Pelodiscus sinensis: one gene and its partner. The protein of the gene in region 2 interacts with the protein of the main gene of each other region in a biochemical or structural test. Links are inferred from orthologs where the notes say so. Each region holds a gene or a part of one and is shown on either strand. Other genes may lie near its edges.

What was found. The genes of interacting proteins can lie anywhere in the genome.
Region 1: the proteins of CDC27 (region 2) and PTTG1 form a complex in vitro, tested with the Homo sapiens proteins (3 studies listed by BioGRID). The link is inferred for Pelodiscus sinensis from reciprocal best matches to the Homo sapiens genes CDC27 and PTTG1.

What each region holds. Positions count from the first base shown.
Region 1 is NC_134727.1:14,827,811-14,835,254, reverse strand, and holds the start of PTTG1 (securin), read left to right. Parts: upstream 1-4,226; 5' UTR 4,227-4,253; coding exon 4,254-4,348; intron 4,349-4,354; exon of another isoform or gene 4,355-4,553; coding exon 4,554-4,628; exon of another isoform or gene 4,629-4,698; intron 4,699-7,312; coding exon 7,313-7,416; intron 7,417-7,444. Other genes in the region: pre-mRNA-splicing factor SLU7, read right to left, coding at 256-409, 649-818. UniProt on the Homo sapiens protein: Regulatory protein, which plays a central role in chromosome stability, in the p53/TP53 pathway, and DNA repair. Probably acts by blocking the action of key proteins.
Region 2 is NC_134739.1:6,834,513-6,842,142, forward strand, and holds the start of CDC27 (cell division cycle protein 27 homolog), read left to right. Parts: upstream 1-4,503; 5' UTR 4,504-4,661; coding exon 4,662-4,688; intron 4,689-7,630. UniProt on the Homo sapiens protein: Component of the anaphase promoting complex/cyclosome (APC/C), a cell cycle-regulated E3 ubiquitin ligase that controls progression through mitosis and the G1 phase of the cell cycle.

The DNA.
Region 1 (7,444 bases), on a different chromosome or scaffold from region 2:
ACACAGACTAAATATACTGTTAATTGTTCTTTTAAGGATGCTTCCAACAAGTAGATAAAAAAGAGGAATCAATGCTTCTATGTGGGGACAAAACTGAACACTAGATTTACTAAAACTTAGATTAGTTCTAGTGAAAGACTTTTCATAACAAAAATCACTGCAAGGCTAAATCAATTTCACTCCAAGAAGAATTTACTGTATTTTACAATTCTTCCCTTCCCAAAACAATAGTCCGTTTTCATCTTTGCTACACACCTCTTGAACCCCTCGTTTGTACCATTCCCCAGATGAGCTGAACTCTTTTTGCTTCTCTGGCTGAGGTCTCTGATGCTTCAATGTAGGTCTTTTTGAAGGATCTATGTACCACGGCACTGAAGATATGTACTGAGGAATATGAGGGTTGATATCTCTGTAAAAAGAAAAAAAATTAGACATGTGCTACATTGTTTATGCCATTTGAATAAGTGAAAAACAGGATAATTTTTTAATTAGCAATAATCACGCCTTGGATTAATATCATTGGCTAAGATACTGCCACTGCAGCATTAGTCTTTGTGACAGGTGGGCCAAAATAAACATTAATTATCTTAATGTAATATCTGGCTGGGGAACCATAGGTTGCTGACCCCTGCCTAAGATGAAACTTACTTTCCTTCCTCATCCACTTCAGCTGGTGCATTTCCCAGCTTTCTCTGTTCTTCTAATTCCTTCTTCTTCCTCCAGTCTTCTCTTGTCATCTTTTTTGGCTCCTCCAAACTTACATCATTTGACCCTCCCGCAGGGGTAGAGTTTATTATTTCAACTGTCCCAGATGCCATGGTCTTTTTCTTTCTGACATGAACAAATACAAGTACAATGAAAAGGATAATACATTACAGAACACTAGTACTGAAAAATGAACAATCAATATACTCTACTTTTTTATCTCTTGCAAATGAAGTAAGTAATGGCATAAAGTCTCTCTCTATAAAAAAATTTCCTGCAGGATGACAGAGTGACATCACCACATTCCTGGTGTTGCCCTGCCCCCAGGTCCAGGCAGCTCCTCTGGTGCTTACATCACTCCCCCATGGGTGGGGGTCATAGGCCACCGCCATCAGCTCCTGCCCCCACACACTGGCCACAGCTGGCTTCCCCCCACAGACCCTCCTCGTGCCACACTACCATTGCAACTGGCCGGCCCCAAGGCCAGAATGTGTACCTCCACCTTTCCCACTGACCAGCCTCTTTTCCCAAGGCAGTGAGTGAGGCTGGAGCGCCAGCACAGTCTCCCTGCTGCAGGAGGAGCAGGGATGGGGCTGAACTGGAGCTGGTGAGTGAGGGGGTTAGGGGTACATGATCTCAGCAGGGCGGTGAGTGACAGTGGTGGAGGTGGTGAGTCTCGGCTGGGGGGGGGGCAGGTTGGAGCACCAGCCTAGACTCCCAGCATGGTACCAGCCCACTCACTCACCACCCTGTCGAGACCATGCACCCCATCCCCTCACTCACTGTCCTGCCAAGACCTCACACCCTCAGCCCCTTCATTCATACCCCCCAAACCAAGACCCCTGTAATGGACAGAAGGAGTGCTGACCAGCACCCAGTGAATGAGGGGTTAAACTCAGGTAGCTAGTAGACCACTGGAGATAGTGGGATGAAATTTGAATTGTATAAGATTCCTTGCATGCCTTCTTTGTGTGGGAGGGAAAAACCAGGAGTTGAAAGACATAGAATGATTTAAACCCAGGCAGGACTACCATGAGTCCAAGGAATTCAGGGAATGGAAGTGGACTGAACCAAGAAAAGAATGGAAGTAAGTAATGGGGAAAAAAGTGAATCTAGTTGCGTTCAGGGTATTTTTTTTATTTTGTGGTTTGGTTTGAACTGCTGTGTGAATCTATGCCTCCACGTTTACCATATCGCATTGTGCCCAGAGTCTTTTCTCTGTTTTAATTTGTTTTCCTTAGTTGCTCTGTAACATCTAGCAACCAAGAATGCTTTATCAAGTTTACCTTTTGTTTTGTAATAAAAGACACTTTTTTTAGCTGATGATTTGATTCTAGTGTCCTGGAAGGTCGGTCTGTCTGTGTGTATCTGCCTGCCTCACACTGAGAGGTCAGCTACTGGAGACTGTAGCTTGTTTTCCTCTTTTCTTTTTCAAGCTCTTTTAGGGCAAAAGAGCTAGGGGTAACCTTGGCAGTAGGTTCAAGTGTTCACCCCTGGTTTTTTTAGGGATAAAAATCACTTGATGGTGGCAGTGATCCCCCAAAATTTGCATATTGTGATTCTAGGGGGAAGATTTTTGTAATCAGTGCTATAGAAGCAAAGGTATCTTTTTCTTTTAAGCTCTTTGCAGGCCCCCATCTTCTGTACTAGGAGTGCTTGAGTGGGGAACAGCCCTGACAATCTCACACACCCAGCCACCTCATGCACCTCTTCCACAGAGATCCTGCTCCCTCTGCCCACTTCTGCACCTTCCCCCATAGCCAGACACTTACCCTGAGCCTGCTCCTGCTCCCTCCACCTGGCCAGACACCTGTCTCCAGAGAGGTAGGTAAGTGTGTGTGTGGGGGGGGGGGGGCGAGGGGCGGGAGACTGGGGGAGATTGGTGAGCGTAGCTCTCACACTCTATGGCTGCAAAAGTGGTGGGGGTGGGTGGGTTGGCAAGCATAGCGAGCAGGGGACATAGCCCCCTTGAATTGTTTTTTAATAAATATCTAAATGGTTTCAGGACTCTCACGAACATGCTTTGTGATGCAAGCAGAAAACGTACCTTTATCCAGTACTTCTGCAGAGACTCCAGGGCATTTTATAAACATACATGAAATAAGTATTACAAAAATCAAGTGAAGCTGAGGAGTGCTATGCCAATCTCACTAGCCGCTTTACCCAAGGAATACGTCAGGCACACAGCTGACTATAAAACTCAGGAATCCGGTCTGAAATCATACAAATCAGGAGCTACTCACCAGTTCTCACTACCGACTAGGCTGGCCCCGGAAGTGAAGGTGCGGCCCTGGTCCCCTACTTCAGCTACGGCTCCACTCCTCTCCCGCAGAGCCGCGAGCCGCGGGACAGGAACCGCGGCAGGTTCTTGTCTGCACAGCCCGGCCTGCGTTGTGATCCGGAGGCCGGGCCGGGGATCATGCGCAGCCGGAGGGACTCTCAGCACCGAGGCATCCACGGACCCCTCGCGAGGGAAACTGAGGGAGGAAGGGGGAGTTACGCGGTGCCTAGCCCCGCAGACAGACGCCACCGCAACGCCTCCGGCTCGAGAGCGGGGCCTGGCGCGGTCACGAGGCGCGACGCAGCCGTACCCCCCCTGGAGCGGAACAGGCCTCAGCTCCAGCTCCGAACGGGTTTACCGATTAGATCTCGGCTCATTCTCCCCTCCCCCCCCGCTCCCACAATGCATCGCGCCGCCGGCCCTGGCTCCGTCTCTTAAAGGAACCTGTTCCCTGCTCCGAACGCAGCTGTACCCCGGGGAAGGGGCAGGTGCTGCGGGCCCCCAGTGCACGGACGGAGCTGGGCGTGCACAGGACTCAGGCATGGCACGCCCGGAGGTTGGTCTGCGAACCCGAGCGACACCGCAGAGCCCTGCAAGAAGCAGCGGCCGGACCAGGCGCTGGCTGGGCGGTAGCCACCTCTGCCAGGCGGCACCCAAGGGCCCCTCGACTGCCCTTTGGCGGCACTTATGCAATTTCCCGTGACAAGAAAAGACTCGAACGGCACCGAATTGGCCTCCATCCTGCCCCCCTGGCGTCCACACGGTCTCTGTGTCCATCCCAACCCAAACGGGTCCGGGTTACACCGGCTTGAAGCAAGAGCTGTGGAGCTGCGGTCTGGACATTGTTGGGCTGGGGGTGACACACGCAGATGTCGGTGTGGTCTTCGGCTGATGTAGGGCCCAGAGCTGAGCAATGCTTATGAAACAGCATGGCCGTGAACAACGAGCTGGTTTATTCGCTGGAGAGAACAGGACAACCAAGAGGCCGAACCATGTGAACTGCCCCGCGGGGCCAGTGACATGCGGAGCAAGCAGCATTCACGGCTCCTCCCGTAAAGCTTCCCCGTCTCATGCAACGCGACAAGTGTAGTGGGCAAGAATTAGGCCTGATTAGGCTCCCTCCGCTGCCAGGCTTCCGGCCGCCCCCAGACTGACAGCAGCTCGAGCGACCTAGAAACACCCACTCACCCGTCGGCTCTGCAAAACTAGCCAATCAGCAGCCGAAGCGTTAGTTTTCGTGTCAAGCAGCCAATGGGAGGAGAGGTGGATGTTTAAAAATGGCCTCGCGGGTAGTGGCGCGCGATGGCTCGAGGTGCTGGCGTGTGGCCGTTTGCGCGGTTCCGTAGCTGGTGCGCGCTCTGGGTTTGTCCTTTTCGAAATGTCCCTTCCGCGTGCGCTTGCAAGCGAGGCCGCGTCCTCCAGTGAGCTGCGCTGTTTCCGCCTGGGGGCTTAAGCGGCGGCGGGGCTCGTGTTCAATCTCCCCTGCTAGTGGCTTTCCCGCGGCAGTGGCGGCTGCAGCTCAGCTGTGGCTTCTGGGGTGAGGGCTCAGGCTGTGTCTCCTCCGCAGGCGGGGTTGGCCTTGTCTCTCCGAAGAGTCGCATTGTTTTGCCTTCCCCGACTGCCTCCTGGGGGTCTTGGCCGGGTAAGTGCTCGCCCTTCTGAGCAGGACCTGGGAGAACTTTCCAAGTGTCCTGTAACTCTCACGCTGCTAGGTGAGTGTAATTCTTTGCCTGGATAACGCTCCCTGGGGACTATCTCCTGAGGGCACAGTCTGCACTCATCCCTTACATTGTTTACCTGCCAGTGATACCCTACTCTGCTGTTCAGAACTGCTTCAATACATCATTTCACTTCCTTTTTATGGTCAAAAGGATGTGAAATGCTCATACTAGTGTTGCTCTGGGAATTGGTGATGAGGGGTTCTTCATTGAATGATTTGTTCTGAGGCACTTGGCTTTTGCTACTGTTGGTAGTCTGACCTGGTATGGTGGGGTGAGGAAATCTCTTGTCCTGAGGTCAGCACTGGGTACAGAAATTGTATGGAAGGCTGGGGGAGGGAGTGCCTTCCCCAGATAGCCAGGTGTGGCCTACTACTTTCCCCCCTAGCCTCTTCCTGTCCCTTGGCCAAACCATAAGATTTATATGCCCCATCCAACCCCAGATAGTGCTGCCCAGAGGACTGAAGCTGCAGAGTGACTGCATGTCTCTGGCACTGGAGGAGCTGAGGCTGTAGGGAAGAGGTGGCAGAAGGGGAAAGACTGGGAGCTAGTATCCCTGGGTGGCTAGATAACTGGCTGTACTGGTGCTATTTGGGAGTTGGGTTGGCTCCTCCTGGCAAGGCTATCCTGTTCCCTGGCTGGGTTTGAGGTTTGATTGACTGGATGTTATCTGTAGGTTATTGTTTGTCTTGTAGCAGGTCAGAACTTGTTGCCACAGTCTTTCCTGCTGGTCTCAGGAACTAGCTTGTCAAAGCTGAAGGCACTCGGGTCTCTCCTTAAATTACCTGTCTTCTGCACTGGTTCAGGTCTTGGTGCCCTTTCCTGACTGTACTGCCTGATGATGATGATGATGCCCACCCCCTGCACACTCTGCAGTCCCCCCTTCCCAAGGGACCCCAAACCTCTAACTATATTTCCTCAGTGACCCACTGCCTGTTGTCTCAGGTACCTTCTCTCTAGCTTACCCAAGCAGCCAGGCCCATCCTGCGCCACATCTGGTGCAAGAATCCCCTCCCCTCCAGGAGCCCCTGTTTACAGTAATCCAGCTGCTTTCTGATTGGCTGTGGTTTGCCTTAGCTGCTGGCTTCACAGTCTCAACCTTCTACCAGAGTTGGGTTTAAGGAGGGGAGTGACTCTCCTACTATAGCCCCCCTCTGTGGTATGGCTATTCTTATGTCTAGTTACTGCTACTTCATGCTACTACTAGGCTATGTCTACATGGCAGGCTTCTTGCGCAAGAGTTCTTCTGCAAAAAGGTCTTGCGCAAGACCATGTCCACATTGCCATGTGTTTTTGTGCGAGAGCCGCCATGGTGGTGTGGACACTTGCACAAGAAAGCTCTGATGGCCATTTTAGCCATAGGGGTTTCTTGCGCAAGAAACCCCTGTTCCCGTCCACACTAGCCTTCTTGCACAAGAGGGCTTATTCCTCATGGGGAGAGGAATAACTCTTACACAAGAAGCCCTCTTTTTCTGATGCTTTACTGTAAATTTACTTGCGCAAAAACACGTGCAGTGTAGACGCTCCACAATTTTTTGCGCAAGAACAGCTGTTCTTGTACAAAAAGCCTCAGTGTAGACGTAGCCCTACTGTGTTGGTGCAGTAATGCTAATTGGGGTTGAACAATTATCCAGTAATGTTCTCACTTTATCAGGCTTCCATGATGATTAATCCAAGGTTGAGGAAACAGACTTGTCTTCTCTTTGCTCCTAAAGTTACAATAAGATTAGATGAGCCAATCAGAGGCACAAATTATTCTAGTGTGGAAAAATCAAGTTAGTACCCCTTTGAGTTTCTCTTAACAGTACTTCCAAGCTCTCTAAGTTGCCTCTTTCTGACAGTCAGCTCCTGATAAAGTTAACTACTAAAGCAGGCTGGAAATAATGTGCTTGGGCTTCCAAATTGATAGTTTGTCATTTTTGGTATTATAGAGGGAACATTAATTTGCACTTGCAAATCTTGCTAACAGGTGAACAAACAATGCATTAAGATATACTTAAACAACTTTGTTTAGGTTTATTGTAGTTTAGGAATAAACATTTACATATTGTAAAAAATAATCCTGATCCTACAACATCAGGCAAGATTTGCAAGAATATGATCAAAATAAGGTAGTGTATTTGTGTATGCCAATGTAATCTGAATTCAGGTGCCACCTAACTGGAAGGTTTAAATAGTTAAAAGCCTACATCTTTGTACTGCTGTGCAAAACAGGGACAGGTCCATCCAATGTTCCCTGTAGTCTTTCCATCCCATGTGTAGATTTCTTCCTTCCATGTGCAGAATAAATTGTGTGCACTGAGGCATGTGCAAATATGCATGTGCCATCAAGAGAAACACAAATTTAGCTGTGGGCGCTCTGCTAATCAGCTGGGTGGCATTGGAATTTGCCTTGAGTGGCTCTACAAGTTCAAAGCTTACAGAGAACACTGGGCAAGTCTCACTTAAACTCTCATCTACAAAATGTCAAATGGACAGCATAGTCAATATCAATATCTCAACGCATGTTTTGTATGAAGAGACACCAAAACCATGACTGTTCTCACTGTTTGTTCCCAGAGGATTTTTCAGTAACTCAATAAGTGATTTTTATTTTTTTTTCTTGCAGTGATCTTGTCAAGCTGAAGATGACAACCCTTTCCTTCCTAGACAAAGAGAATGAAGGAGATGTTGCTGCTTCTAAGGAACGGTTAAGGTTGTCCTCAACATCTTGTGAGTATATTACTACAGAAATTAAACT
Region 2 (7,630 bases):
AGTTTTTCCGCAAAATCATCTGTTTTTGCGGAAAAACTTGTCAGCTGTCTACACTGACGTCTCATGTAAGATCGTCAGTGTTCTTGCGGAAATACTGTGCTGCTCCCATTCGGGCAAAAGCCCTCTTGCGCAAATCATTTGCACAAGAGGGCCAGTGTAAACAGCACAGTACTGTTTTCCACAAAAAAGCCCCGATCGCGAAAATGGCGATTGGGGCTTTTTTACGGAAAATCGTGCCTAGATTGGCCACGGACGCTTTTCCGCAAAAAGTGCTTTTCCGTTAAAAGCTTTTCCGTTAAAAGCATTTTCAGAATATCATGCCAGTGTAGATGTAGCCGACCAGTTATTGGAGAGAGAAAATCCAAGCTGAACCTGTGAACAGTGCCCTGGTGTTTTCTCATTGCTGAGCACTTGCATCTGCAGCCTTAATAATACTCTTTTAATGCAGTGCTCTTTGTGGGCAACAGAAAAAGAATCTGCCGCTGAAATGCTACCTAAAGAGTCATTCCTGACATGCAAGAAACAATTTTTTAGCACTTCAGCATTGACAGTCCTCCCCACCTCTTCCTAAGGGTTTGTCTACATAGGGAAATTAGTCCAGATTAAGGTGACTCTAATCTGGTCCACACTGGGAATAATTCCAGAACAGCTCTACTAGGATAGCTTCAGGGGGTAGCCTAGTCTGTACAGGATAAACTTAAAAAACAACAAATAGTCTGGTAGCACATTATAGACAAACAAAACATGTAGATGGTATCATGAGCTTTCATGGGCATGGCCCACTTCTTCAGATAACCAGAGTTTTGTTAAACGGCTGGTTATTTGGGTAATTGAAGGATCATTAGATCACCATGAAAACATTGCCAGGTACTCCACTTAAAAGCTGGGGGGAAGGAAGTGTGGACTGCTGGGATCTGCATTTAGATTACTGCTGTTAAACTTCTCATAAATGAGAAAAAGGGGTAAACAATGACTACTTCACAACTGACTGCGAAGAGTTACAAAGGGATCTCACAAAACTGGGTGATTGGGCAACACAAAGGCAGATGGAATTCAGTGTTGATAAGTGCAAATTAATGCACATAAGAAAATATAATTCTAACCATACATATAAAAATGATGGGGTCTAAAATAGCTGTTACCACTCAAGAAAGAGATCTTGGCATCCTTGAAAACATCTGCTCAGTGTGCAGTGGCAGTTTGAAAACTAAAAAGCTAACCAAATATTGGGAATCGTTAGGAAAAGGAATAGATAAGAAGACAAAATATCATATTGCCTGTGTATAAAATCATTGTATGCCCACATCTTGAATGCAGATCTGGTCACCCCCTCTAAAAAAAAGATATATTGGATTTGGAAAAGGTACAGAAAGGGCAACAGAAATGATTAGGGGTAAGGAACAGAGATTAACAAGACTGCGATTTTTCATCTTGGAAAAGAAATGATTAAAGCGTAGGGGGATATGTTGGAGGTCTTGAAAACTATGAAAGCTATAGAAAAATAGAATAAGGATCTGTTATTCATTTCTGCACTAACATAACACAAGAAGATGACCCAATTAAATCTATGGGCAGCCGATGTAAAACTATAACAGGGTTCCAATAAGAACGAAATAAGTTCAAGGCGGATAGGTCCATCAATGGCTACTAGCCAGACTGAGCAGGGATGATATCCCTAGTTTCTGTTTGCCAGAAGCTAGGAATGGGCGACAGGGAATGGCTCATGATTGCCTCTTCTATTTATTCCTCTTGACATACCTGACATTGGCCAATGTTGGTAGACAGGACACTGGGCTAGAAAGACCTTTGGTCCTACCCAGTATGACCATTCTGATCCTCTTATATCGAGCTGAAATTTATCTCCCCCTTTTGTAACCCACTAGATTCCACTTCCCTTCCAGAGCTGAGAGACAGCCCACAAGTTCTGACAGGGTTTCTCTATCCCCGGATTTAGTAACTAAGTAAGAATAGACATTAACATTTTAAGGCTAAATAGTGTCCCTTAAGTGACGTGCCATAAGATGTCAGAATATGTTAGAGCTGAGTGGGTCTAATATTTATTTAATTTTCTTGTATATTGAAATTAGATTCAGTGCTCCTGCTAACTGCTAAGTTGTCAGCCAAAAAAGCAGAGTTTTCCAGTGCCTTAGTAGCCCTGGGACAGAGATGATATGGTGGGGAGGGTGGAAGGAATTGGTTCCTCCCCCATTTGGTACTTGGTTTGTACCGAGCATGCTCAGTAACACTGCTGAAAGCCGCTGTCCTCAGTTTTCCTCCCCATGCTCTCATTACCCTCCATCACGGCATGCACAGGTCGCCACTCCCCCACCAAAATCTGAAATGGCGCCCATTGCGATTTCCCTGCGAAGACAAGTTTGCACTAATTGCAAAAACTCCTCTCTCTGCTGGGCTGTCCCTGTGCTGCTGGGGGAGTGAGGGTTGCAGCCCTGGGGCCTGCCAGTTGGAGGGCAGCGCCAGGGACATGAGACATTTTCAGACTTTAGGAGTCAGTTATGGAGGAGCTTTCAGTGGCCACCAGAGGACACTGCTGCTGCACGGAAAAGGGTCACTCGGCTGCCAATAGTCCTTAGAAAAAGGGTGGACTGGAGTGGGGCTGCATACAAGGGGAAAGAGAGAGACAAGGGAGAAGGAGAGCAGGGATTGGAGAGGAAGAGGAGGGGAGGAAAGGAAAAGAGGGGAAAGGAGAGAAAGAAAAGGGCAAGGTAAGGTGAGTAGGGAAAAAAGAAGGAATAGAGAAGGAGGGGAAGAAGAATGAAATAGAGAAGAAGGAGGAGGAAAGAGGAAGAAGAGGAGGAGGGGACTGGGAGAGTGAAAGGGAAGAAGAAGAGGAGGAAGAGAGGAGGAGGGAAGGGGAAGAGAAGAGTGAAAGGGAAGGCGAGGAAGAGAGAAGGTAAGGGGAGGAGGAAGATGAAGGGGAGGGCGAGGAAGAGAGGAGGAAGGTGAGGAGGAGGGAAGAGGAAGACAGAAGGGAAGGGAGCGGGAGGAGGAAGGGGGAAGAGGAGGAAGATGAAGGGGGAGGAGAAAAATGGGAAGGGGAAGAAAAGGGGAGAAGAAGGAAAGGGAAGAGAGAGGGGAGGGGAAGGAGGAAGATGAGGAGGAAGATGAAGAGGGAAGGGGAAGAAGGAGGAAGGGAAGGAGGAAGATGAGGGGGAGAAGGAAGCTGAAGAGGAGGGAAGGGGAAGACAGAGGAAGAGAGAGGGATGGGAAGAGGAGGAGGCAGATGAAGACGGAAGGGGAGGAAGGCGGAAGGGGAGAGGAAGAGAGAGGGGAAGGTGCAGGAGGAAGATGAAGAGGGTGAGGAAGAGAGGAGGAAGGGGGAGGAGGAAGATAAAGGGAAGGGGGAGAGAGGGGCAGGGGAAGAAGAAGGTAGGAGGAGGGGAAGGAGGAAGATGAAGAGGAGGAAGGGGAAGGGGGAAGAGGAAGAGAGAGGAGGAAGGAAGAGAGAAGGGAAGGAGGGAGGAGGGAAGAGGAGGAGGAAGATGAAGAGGGAAGGGGAGGAAGGGAAGGAGAAAGATGAGGGGGGAGGGGGAAGGGGAAGAGAGAGGAGGAGGGAAGGGTTAGGGGAAGAGAGAGAGGAAGGTGCAGGAGGAAGATGAAGAGAGGAGGAAGGGGGAGGAGGAAGATAAAGGGAAGGGGAAGAGGGGGAAGGGGAAGAAGAAGGTGGAAGGAGGAAGGAGGAAGATGAACAGGAGGAAGGGGAAGGGGAAGAGAGAGGAGGAGGGAAGGGGAGGGGAAGTTGCAGGAGGAAGATGAAGAGAGGAGGAGGGAGAGGAGGAAGATAAGGGGAGAGTGGGGAAGGGGAAGGGGAAGAAGAAGATAGGAGGAGGGGAAGGAGGAAGATGAAGAGGAGGAAGGGGAAGAGGAAGGGGTAAGAGAGAGGAGGAGGGAAGGGGAGGGGAAGTTGCAGGAGGAAGATGAAGAGAGGAGGAGGGGGAGGAGGAAGATGAAGGGGAAGAAGAAGGTAGGAGGAAGGGGAAGGAGGAAGATGAAGAGAGGAGGAGGGGAAGAGGAAGATAAAGGGAAGGGGAAGGGGAAGAAGAAGAGGAGGAAGGGGAAGGGGGAAGAGAGAGGAGGAGGGAAGGGGAGGGGAAGTTGCAGGAGGAAGATGAAGGGAAGGGGAAGAAGAAGGGGAGGGAGCGGGAGGAGGAGGGAAGAGGAGGGGATGGGGAAGGGGGCGATGCGGGATTTGACGGGGCGGAGCCTGGGAGACGCAGACAGGCAGGGCTGGGCAGACCACGCCCCCCGCGCTCCGCCTGCCTGCGCCGCCCAGCCCAGCTCCTGGCGCGGGGAGCGCTCGGCTCTCTCCGTCAGCTCGGGCCTCTCGGGCGCTGCTCGGGTGTTTCCGTCTCCGTTCGGCGCTCTCCCTCCCCGCGCCTGTGGCGCGCTCCGCCCTCGGCTGTTTCCGCCCCCGCTCGGCTATTTCCGGCTCCCCTCGGCTGTTTCCGCCCCCGCTCGGCTATTTCCGGCTCCCCTCGGGTGTTCCCGTCCCCGCTCGGAGGCAGTCGGCGCCTGGCCGGCCTCCTTCCTTCCCTCCCGGGTGCCTGCCCCGGTAACGGTCGCTGCGAGTTTAAATGAGCAGGGGCCGGGCCGCGCCGCGCCGCCGCCAGGACTCGCCCCGCCGCGGGCGCTGAGGGGACAGGATGACGGTGCTGCAGGAGCCCGTGCAGGTACCGAGCCGCAGCCGCCCCGAGGCCCCGGCCTAGCGGGCCCGGCCTCTCCCGAGCCAGCCCGGCCTGGCGGGGCCCCCCCCGCCCGCCCGGCCGCAGGGGCCCCTCAGCGCCCGCCTCAGACGTGGGGCCCCGAGGCCCCGCCCCTGGAGCGGGGACCAGGCCCCGCACGGCCCGCACCGCACTGACCCGGCAGCCCCTCCCCCTGCCGGCCCGCCTCCTCCAGACCCCCCCCCCCCCCGGCCAGGCTCCCCTCGAATCTCCCAGAGGGGCCCGCCACTGGCTGGTCTCCCTCCCCCCACCTCGGCCCTGGTATCCCTGCGCTCCGTCCTGCCACAGCCCTGGGGGCCGATCGGGACCTCTCGCTTGGGCGAGGGGCTGGACACGATCCCCGCCCCAGCGGCAGAGCCTCATGTGCCTAGCTCGTAAGACAGCCGATGGAGACAGGGAGGGGGGCACGAGGGGGCAGGGAGGGGGGCACGAGGGCAGGTGGGACGAGGGGGCAGGGAGGGGGGCACGAGGGGGGCACGAGGGCAGGGGGGACGAGGGGGCAGGGAGGGGGCACGAGGGCAGGTGGGACGAGGGGGCAGGGAGGGGGCAGGGGGGACGAGGGGGCAGGGAGGGGGGCACGAGGGCAGGTGGGACGAGGGGGCAGGGAGGGGGCACGAGGGCAGGTGGGACGAGGGGGCAGGGAGGGGGGCACGAGGGCAGGTGGGACGAGGGGGCAGGGAGGGGGCACGAGGGCAGGTGGGACGAGGGGGCAGGGAGGGGGCAGGTGGGACGAGGGGGCAGGGAGGGGGCACGAGGGCAGGTGGGACGAGGGGGCAGGGAGGGGGCAGGGGGGACGAGGGGGCAGGGAGGGGGCACGAGGGCAGGGGGGACGAGGGGGCAGGGAGGGGGCACGAGGGCAGGGGGGACGAGGGGGCAGGGAGGGGGCACGAGGACAGGTGGGACGAGGGGGCAGGGAGGGGGGCACGAGGACAGGTGGGACGAGGGGGCAGGGAGGGGGCACGAGGGCAGGTGGGACGAGGGGGCAGGGAGGGGGGCACGAGGGCAGGTGGGACGAGGGGGCAGGGAGGGGGCACGAGGGCAGGGGGGACGAGGGGGCACGAGGATAGGTGGGACGAGGGGGCAGGGAGGGGGCACGAGGACAGGTGGGAAGAGGGGGCAGGGAGGGGGGCACGAGGACAGGTGGGACGAGGGGGCAGGGAGGGGGCACGGGGGCAGGTGGGACGAGGGGGCAGGGAGGGGGCACGAGGGCAGGTGGGACGAGGGGGCAGGGAGGGGGCACGAGGACAGGTGGGACGAGGGGGCAGGGAGGGGGGCACGAGGACAGGTGGGACGAGGGGGCAGGGAGGGGGGCACGAGGACAGGTGGGACGAGGCGGTAGGGAGGGGGGTACGAGGGCAGGTGGGACGAGGGGGCAGGGAGGGGGCACGAGGGCAGGTGGGACGAGGGGGCAGGGAGGGGGGCACGAGAGCAGGTGGGACGAGGGGGCAGGGAGGGGGGCATGAGGAAACAATGAGTTGATACTAGCCAGCATAATAGTGGCTAGTGCACGTCCAAGAGGGATTCTTCCCATCTCCACTGTTCCAGCCCAACTCCTTATGGAACCCCTCGATTTCTCCTTTCTGGTTTCATTCACCCTCCATGGCTGCTGTTTTTGTATTTAAATACCCACAATGTGCTTGTCACTGTGGATTACACACAAGTGAAGGGCATTCATTGTCCCAAGGAGCATGCAGTCTAAGGCCAGGTCTTCACTTGCTGCTGGATATTGATCTTCTGGTGTTAGATTTAGTGGGTGTAGGTAAGACGCCGTAAATCGAATGCCGAGGGTGGCTCCATGTGGCACTTGTACTCCTGGCTGTTGTGGAGAAGGGAAGCCGATGAGAGCGTTGGCACCGGTCTTCACAGAGGGAGGCCAACAAGAGCAGAGCTCAGCTTAAGGTAAGCAGACTCCAGTGACATATTTTACATAGCTGGAGTTGCGTACCTTAACCTGGCCTTCCAGGTCTGGTGTAGACTTGGTCTAAAAGAGACCAAGTCTCGCCTGAAAGACCCAAAGGAGGAAATAACTTTAGGTTCTTTTTTTCTCCCCCTTTTTTAAAGTCTAATTTTTTTTCCAGGATATTTTCCCTTTTTATTTTAGTCTCTTTTCAGAAGTGATACCATCTCAGAAGTTATCCGTTCTCTCTTTCCTATATCAACTTTGCCTTAGCTATCCTATCTATGTTCCCTCCCACTTCAATTTTCCCATGCTATCTCCTCTCCTTTCCCCTCCACCAGACTTCCAATCTTTTTCAGGTTTCTGTCTTTAGAAATAAATTGGGACATAGGGCTTCAAAGGTCTTGCATGCAAAATAAATTTTTTCTTGGTAACTTGTAAACTCTCCCAGCTTCTACACGGCCAAGATGCTTAGCATGCTGGACAGTTTTTCATAATGACAATAGTGAGCACAACAAAAGTATCTAATTTCTCTTGTTTCCTCTTCTCTCTAAAAAGATAGAAGGATGTAGCTTTTTGTGGGATACATCATCTACCCCACTGATTTAGCCTACACAACAAGGTGGAAGCAGTGGTGGCACTATTATTGTAGATGAGTTCATCATCTTTATGCCAAATTCTATAGGTCTGCTCTGAACCACATTAGACAACGCATTGCTGAAAACACTTCTGGCCATCTGATGCCCTTTCTCCAGTAATACTCTCTCAAGTTAGCATCTCGAGCTGGGCAGGTGGTAGCAGCAGTTGGAAATTCTAGCAAAAAGTGGCTAGTGTAGGCTTCAGTATGGAAAGAAAGTAAATGCCCGCTTACATAGATATTGTTTGCTTTCATTCACTAACATTTTTACAAATACATGCAATCAGCATCTTTTCTGCTGTCCTGATTATGGCTAACCAGGTGGGAAATATTTGATATTCTGAAATTTCCTTGGCA